2 linked regions of the Oryzias latipes genome follow. The main gene of each other region encodes a partner of the protein of the gene in region 2 in a complex. Links are inferred from orthologs where the notes say so. Each region holds a gene or a part of one and is shown on either strand. Other genes may lie near its edges.

The links.
Region 1: the proteins of pigs (region 2) and pigu are in contact, whole or in part, in a cryo-EM structure (PDB 8IMX), measured with the Homo sapiens proteins. The link is inferred for Oryzias latipes from reciprocal best matches to the Homo sapiens genes PIGS and PIGU. Residues at the interface, in NP_149975.1 of Homo sapiens: Ala4, Gly5, Ala8, Thr9, Glu12, Arg15, Arg18, Ala19, Phe22, Phe23, Val26, Leu30, Leu34, Trp35, Thr38, Thr39, Leu510, Leu511, Phe513, Ile521, Tyr522, Leu525, Phe526; in NP_536724.1 of Homo sapiens: Gln118, Phe282, Glu283, His284, Phe285, Leu287, Phe288, Phe289, Cys291, Val292, Phe293, Ile295, Phe299, Tyr300, Ile302, Pro303, Ile306, Lys307, Lys309, Glu310, Thr417, His418.

Annotation. Positions count from the first base shown.
Region 1 is NC_019863.2:32,751,690-32,754,873, forward strand, and holds the end of pigu (phosphatidylinositol glycan anchor biosynthesis class U protein), read right to left. Parts: coding exon 3,111-3,184; intron 3,041-3,110; coding exon 2,898-3,040; intron 1,749-2,897; coding exon 1,635-1,748; 3' UTR 502-1,634; downstream 1-501. UniProt on the Homo sapiens protein: Component of the glycosylphosphatidylinositol-anchor (GPI-anchor) transamidase (GPI-T) complex that catalyzes the formation of the linkage between a proprotein and a GPI-anchor and participates in GPI anchored protein biosynthesis.
Region 2 is NC_019872.2:12,613,459-12,617,608, forward strand, and holds the start of pigs (GPI transamidase component PIG-S), read right to left. Parts: upstream 2,804-4,150; 5' UTR 2,691-2,803; coding exon 2,672-2,690; intron 2,116-2,671; coding exon 1,976-2,115; intron 1,882-1,975; coding exon 1,770-1,881; intron 1,693-1,769; coding exon 1,603-1,692; intron 1,521-1,602; coding exon 1,429-1,520; intron 1,317-1,428; coding exon 1,076-1,316; intron 993-1,075; coding exon 850-992; intron 761-849; coding exon 646-760; intron 554-645; coding exon 408-553; intron 1-407. UniProt on the Homo sapiens protein: Component of the glycosylphosphatidylinositol-anchor (GPI-anchor) transamidase (GPI-T) complex that catalyzes the formation of the linkage between a proprotein and a GPI-anchor and participates in GPI anchored protein biosynthesis.

The sequences.
Region 1 (3,184 bases), on a different chromosome or scaffold from region 2:
ATAGACGCAGACAAAAACAACTCAAGTGAGATGGAAGTGATTTACCTGCTGGAGCAAAGCAGAGTGGTTCTCCGAACCACCTGAAAGGATTCTGTTCAGAACGATGCTGCCATCTACAGGCCACCGATAGAAATGCATCCAGCAAGGAGCTGCTTATCTGCGCATGCGTGAACAACAAACGTCTGATTGAGCCCGAAAACAATGTCCTGGCCGTGTGCCTCCAGAGGTCTGTGATGATGTTGAGTTCTTTACAGCAGAACCAGAAGATCCAGATGGTCCTTCTCTGTCTGCGATCTTTAAACTGACTTCCAACATCCATCAAAGGAGATTCCTGCTGCTCCAAAAGCTGATCATGTTGGATTCTGTGGACATGAAGGAAGGACGTTTTTGTGATAAGATGGACAAATGTCTAAAAATCCACAGCTTGCACTTCAGATATTTTTGATGAAACAGTTTTTTTTTAAATATGTATACAAACTAAATTAAGAAAAGTTAAATGACCAACATTTGACACTTTTATTCACAAATGAAACATAAAAAAAGTAAATATCAGTTCAAACCAAAAGTACCAGAGTATATAAAAGAATGACATGCCTTTCTAAACTCCTGGGTTTGTAGTTCAATTACTAGACTCTAGCTGTGGTTGTCTGACCTGCGGAGACTCGGAGGATCAGCAAAGGAAGACCTGAAGTTAATGTGAAAACAACCCAGACACGGAGAACGACCTTCTTCACGCTAATGACTCCAGACTCAGATATTATTCTGCTCACATTAGGAAAAACGTCAAACTCCAGACACAGTTTTCTTTTTAAAAGATTACATTTACAGAAATAAAGCCTTTATAACTCTGTTTTGTTGCCATACATGTGCTGTAGTCCACAGTGTTAAAGACCACAGATTTCAAACATAATCTGGATTAAATTTGGATTAAATCTCTTTATTCTGCTGTTTTACCAGGAAAATGATCAAACTCAGAAATCCGTCTGTATCTACAATCAAGCAGAAATGAAAAAGTTTAAACGTTAAATTTGAAATTCTCTCCAGCTGCCCTGCTGTTGCCGTCTGATCAGTGAGGATCCATAAATCAGTATTGATCAGATGAACGAGTCGAGTCCCGGCAGCATCGACACAAAACGAGGAAAAGGTTGAAAACTCTAACGGTTTGATTTATAGAAGTCTGTAAATGAAGCTTCCGTTCACATTTTTCCGTCCAGTTTATAAAATAGGTTACAATACAGGTTTAGTCAGAAATACTTATTTTTCCAACTTGTTTGACTTCAAAGGAAGAGGAAGCTTTCAAAGTAAAAGCTCATTGCAGAGGAGTGTTTAAAAAAAAAGTCAAAATAAAGTCCAACAGAGCGGGTTAAATAGTCTGTAAAATAAAAGCTTTGCTTGTTCCACTGGAAAGAAGCTTCAAAATAAGAGCACTCCAGAACAGAAGGACCCGCAGGTCTGCATGGAGCACGTGTCTCAGGTCCTGCAGCCGCAGCAGCTCAGCTGCATCAAGCTGCACCGCCGCCTCTGCACGGGCGGCTTCGGTCCGTCGGAGGAGCGGTGCGGCTTCGGACGCCGTCTCCTCCTCGAGCGTGAAGAGGAGCTCCACCGTCTGTCCCTGCAGACGCTCAGGGGGGGGTTTACTTCAGGACCAGCGTTGCTTCCGAGCCGTCCTTCTTCTTCAGGTACAGCCCATAGGTGAGGTGGTGTTCCCTCCGCAGGAAGGCGTAGAAATAATCCGACACCAGCAGGATCTAAGAAAGAAAGAAGAACGAAGTGTGAAAGTGTTTTGGTTTCCTCAGAAGTCTGTTTGCTGCATCTGCAGATCTAAGAGAAAACTTCATCCATCTATAAACCTTTTCATGCTAAATCCACTTTTGGAGCTTTTAAGTGTCTTCTAATGTTCATTCCTCACCATAAACATCCCCAAAGCTGTAATTCCTCTATAAAACTGCTTTCTGAGGACCTGCCCCTCCCAATCCACGACGAGCTGGTTCTCACATTGTGATGTCACAAAGTGAGGAACCGCCCCTTCCAGGAAGAGTCTGTGCTGCAGGCTCCGCCCCCAGGCTAACACACACGCCCAGGCCATGTTCAAATTCCCACCCTGACCTCTACATAGAGCATCTATAGTGCGTTTATCATTCTATAGTGTCTGAATCTACAATTCCAAAATCCAGAGCCCTAGAAATTTCCCAGAAGTCTCTGCGAAAAACCACTAGATCGGTGAATATAGACCACAATGCATTGCATTGGAACAACTTTTGCAAAAAAAATTTATTTTTTTAATAAACCATCAACGTTTTTATCTTCAGAAGACAGTGGATCATAAATAATCCTCCCAGAACGCTCATTAATTAGATTTTAACTTTGTGAAATCAATGACGTCACATCTGCCGTTAAAAAAAAAAAAAAGGAGTGAGTGTGGCGTCTGAATTGTTTTCAAAATTCAGGGCACCTCCTCGTTTTTTAGTAGTTAGGGCGGGAATTTGGACACTTTCTCTGTGGAGCTAGCGGTGATCGGCTAAACGCTTTCCTTCTCTAGGCACAATACACACATCCGTCTTTGTACGGCGGTGTTTGTTTTCGTGGGAAAATCGCAGACACGCTGCAGAGGCCGGCTCTAGGATGATGTCATGAAATGGGCGGAACCCACAAAGAGAGAAAGGCGGAGCCCCAAAGATCCAGTCGTCTTACTTCTGGGTAGGAAAAATTAATATTTAATAAAAAGTTTGTTATTTAGCGGGAACATATTATAGATGAATGAATATAGTTTACTATGAAAAGCTTGCGAAAAGTATAATATAGGCCCTTTAAAATATTCTCACGTCCTCATGAATATAGAATCTGCTGGCCCCTTTCTCAGCTGAACCTGACAGCGCCCCCCTCAGGCCGCTCCTTACCTGCGCCACGTTGAACAGCAGCGTTATGGCGTAGTAGAAGTTGGAGTTGGCGCTGCCGGCGTAGATCCAGAGGTGCCAGAGGACCGGGAACAGCGCCGAGCAGGCCAGCAGGACGCAGGACACCAGGAAGATGTTCCTCAGGACTGGAGAACAGAAACCTTTGAGAAACCTCGGCGCCGCCAGAGAACGCCAGAACCTGGAGCACACACTCACAGCGGTGCAGGTGACTCCAGAGCGGGAGGAAGGCCATGTAGAGGGCGACGTCCCCCACGGTGGGGTAGGATTTA
Region 2 (4,150 bases):
TTATACCCACATATACTTAAAAATATATATATACCGGTATATTGTTCCAATTTTACTCCACAAGAGAACATTTTGGCTGCATAAATTATATAACACAAAGTAAAGTAAGAAAAAAAATGTACCATCCTGTTAAAGACCCACTTTAGAGAAATTTAAGCTTAGAATTGCATTTCTTCATTCAAATCGTTGTAAATTAGTAGCAGGCAAAAAAAAAAAAGAGCCTTTTTTGACGTAAAATATATGATGAGACAAGCTCCTTGTGTCCTCGAAAACAATCGTTTTATTTTATTTTATTTGGAGTTAAAAACACTCAATTATATTTAAAAGACCACTGGGAAGGCTTTTAAAATATCTCAAAAGATGATCAGAGTGAGTCTTTAACATCATCCAAAGATCAGTCTTCTTACCATAATCCCCCCCCAACGCGGAGAGTGAAATGCATTCGAAGGAACATCCATTTTCTTGTGGTCCTGAATGTAAAGTGGTGAATGCTGGGCGTCTGGCACATACAGAAGAAAATTCAGCACCGGGTTGGAGGAGGCAGCATTGGAACCTGGAGTTGAATGAGACTAACGTAAGAAAAAACGGCTCCCCTTTTTTCCATTGTATTCTATCGCCAGTATTTGCAAGTAACAACAGTTTTACCAAGTCTGGCCTCCACTGGGTTGATGACATGAGCAAGGCTGTCGGCGTGAAGTATGAAGGCGCCGCGGTCGTTGTTATAGCGCGGGTTGACACCCAGCATGGCGTAGTGTAGCATCTGTTAAAAGCAAATGAAGAACAAAGCTGCAGGGTGACTTTTCATGATGACTCTGAACTTTGAAACGTGTGCAGTGCTGCCTCTCGTACCTGAGAGTCTATGCTGAAGTTGGCCAAAGGAGAAAGTTTGGTAAGAAAAGGCTGGATGTAAGTCTGAACAGCACCTTCTATGTCCCAATGGAGCCTGTGTGACCTTGGGTCAGGGTTCAACAGACTGAAAGTTATCTCATAACCTAAAAAAGGTAAGGACAAGCACAGAATATAAGCGGAAAAAGGACTGCAAAGAAATGTTACCAAACCATAGATAAAAACCAACCTGGACTGAATGTAAAGGCTCTCATACTATGAGTCATACTTTCTTTGCTGCCAGGGTTGAAACGGACTCGATCACTGAGGGCAGCTGTGATGTCCGTGTGACTAAAAGACATCACCTGAAGCACCTGCTTGATTTGAGGCTTCAGGACATCCAGTAGCTGCTCTACCGTCTTTCCTGCTCTCATCTCAGCATTGATGCGTAGGATGGCCGTCCGGCGTTGACCAATATACACTTTGACATTCTAAAGAGGATTTTAAAAAGTTTTCTTTACAATCAAGAGACTAAAATGACTGAAAGCTATGAGTTTAAAAAAAAAAAATCACTATTACAATAGAAGTATGAACAGCTTTTACCTCTGGTAGCAGCGAGGAGACCTCAGGAATCACATACACCACTGAAGAACCACACGGACTTTCACTGAGCATGTGCAGAGATAGATCCGCCTCTGGAAAAGGACACAGATACAGACAGAAGTAACTATACATGAGGTTTCACTGACACAACACACTATTTGGTAGGTAGTTCACCTGCAGCGGTGGGCTTGCCCAGAGCCTCCTCTTCCATAATTGTAGCTGTTTGGTACTTTATTTCATGAGTATACCTCAAAACTGTGTTCTCTAGAAATGGGAGAAACCGTTATTCATGCTGGTATGGACTGCATGACCTCAAAATCCAGGATTCTAAAGTGCGTCACCATCCACTGCATGCTCCTCATCCTGCGTCTGGGTCAGGGGGAGCCTCTTCTGCTGCTCAGGTGTCAGGGTGCCCCGTGCAAACACAACTTCAACATCAGCACTTAAATGCAGCTGCAAGGAGAGATAAAGACTATTCCAACACACAAACGCAAAAGGAAGATACGTTAACCGGGGAGTTTGGTGATATCCCGGAACAGAGACAGACCTGCAGTTTAGAGAGGTCTTTTATCTGGCTGAAAGGTAACCAGGCGCGGTAGGTTTCAGTCGTTCGCCACCACAAGGGGACCCCAACGACGATGACCACGGCGGCGATAGACAGGGCAGCAAGCTGACCTCGTCTGCGCTCTGAGAGAAATGCCAGAAGTACATTGTTGTTGCTAATTGTTCAACATAAGACAAATGTCTTTGGTTACAAAAAACAACTTATATTTGATTTATATTTCACTAAACAGCTTGCTTAAAAAACTGCTATTGTTCGTCATTTTGCATCTAAATAGAAGGACAGTTAAGTTCAAATAAAATAAAAATTTATGAAACTTTCTTCCAAATTCTAAATAAATCAATCAAATATGTAACTGTTTTTAATGGTTAAATTAAACGGCCAAATAATCCTGATACCTATATCCGGGGAGATATTAAAGTCATTGTTGACATTTCAGATGATTTAAAATGTTAGAAGACAAAGATATAAGAATAAAACTGTTTGGTTGCACTTGTCTTGAGCAGGCAGTATGTAGCTAATTAGCTGTTAGCATCAGAGCGTCATAACAAGACAAAAATGACCAACAACTACATCATCTATTATTGTCTCAACATGAACATTTACAACATAGTACATTTAATTCCACAAACGTTCACATTAAAAACTCATAGAAAGAAACCGAGCAATGAATTCACTCACCCACTTCCGTGGTGGCCATTTCTGTCAATGAAAGTAGTGCGCTCGTTGACACGACAGACGTAGCCACGTGTGTCACGTGACAGCTGAAACAAAATGCGTATAAAGCAAAAGTCTAGATATTACTGATATGTAGCTACAGTTTCTTTAAGAGTAACACAATGTTCTAATACGCCATTGTTATAATGGTCTAATGAAAACCCTGGTAAAATTCAATTTCAGATAAAATGACTGTCACCGCCGGCTCCCCGGGTGTTATTTTTTAACGTACTTAAAAAAAACAGTTTCTCAACAGCGCCTCCTGTGGTGATAGGCTGACCTATCCAATTGATCCCAGAGATTTCTTCCTCTTTTGAACAAATATATTCTTGCGGGATTCTGTTTCTAGTAGAAGTATATTAAGTGTAATTTATGCTGCTATGAATGACACGGCAAGAACAAGTCATTTTAAATCTTACATAAATTTATTTAAATTTCACTTAAACTCTTTCTGACTGAAACTGAATTTTCGTCCATTATAATCTTATGGATGATTTTTCTAAATGACAAGGCAGCTAGTAATGTGACAAAATATTGTACCAACAGAATAACCCAGACAGGGGTTTATAAATGTACAAGAGCATATTAATTTAAATACTGAAGGTAATAAAAGTAAAAAAACATGAACTTTAAAAACATTTACTTGCTCCAAAAAAATAAAAATAAGGCAAAAGAGGCCACAGTCAAACCAGAGGGGATCGAACACAAAAATGGAGTCTCCATCAGGTTTAATGTGTATTTTAGTTTATTATCTCCACTACATGACACAGCGTGTTTCAAGAACAATATTAACATCACAAACAGTATTTCAACAAAGCAGTGAATGTTTCTGTGCTGCTGGTCCCACATGTTGGTCCTTTTATTCATTTATTTTTAACATACATTTCAATAGACTTCCTCTGATCTTCCTAAGGGGCCAGCAGGGAAAAGCAGGACAGGGGGCAGAGGTGACACATGCATCACACAATATTGACACCTTCACATAACAAAACACATCAATTACTGCGTGACTCTGAGAGCTAATGTTATACAGAAAAGACACAAATGATGGTTTTAGTTCATGTATTAAGGTCCAGAAGGAACACAAGAAAAGAGTGGGGTGAAAGCCGGTGTGGAGCGGGTTTTTACAGTACCGTGTGATCTCTGCTGGGACCGTCTATCAGAAGGATAACCCAGTTCAGATCTTTCACCGTTCTCGTCGCCATACTGTGCTTTAACTGATGCCTACGTATTAGTTGGTCCCACTGTCAATGTGGATGTTGGTATGAGCCTATACGGTTTCAAACGGGAAGCGCAACACTAACACTCATGCAGATTTTAGCCTGCTCGGGGGCTCGCAGGGAGAAGGCACCTGACATGGAGGCAGGCGCATTTTCAAAGCGGCAAGAAACCAATACTGACCGATGATCTTCATCACATTCTGGAGCCTCTGGCTTCCGCTTT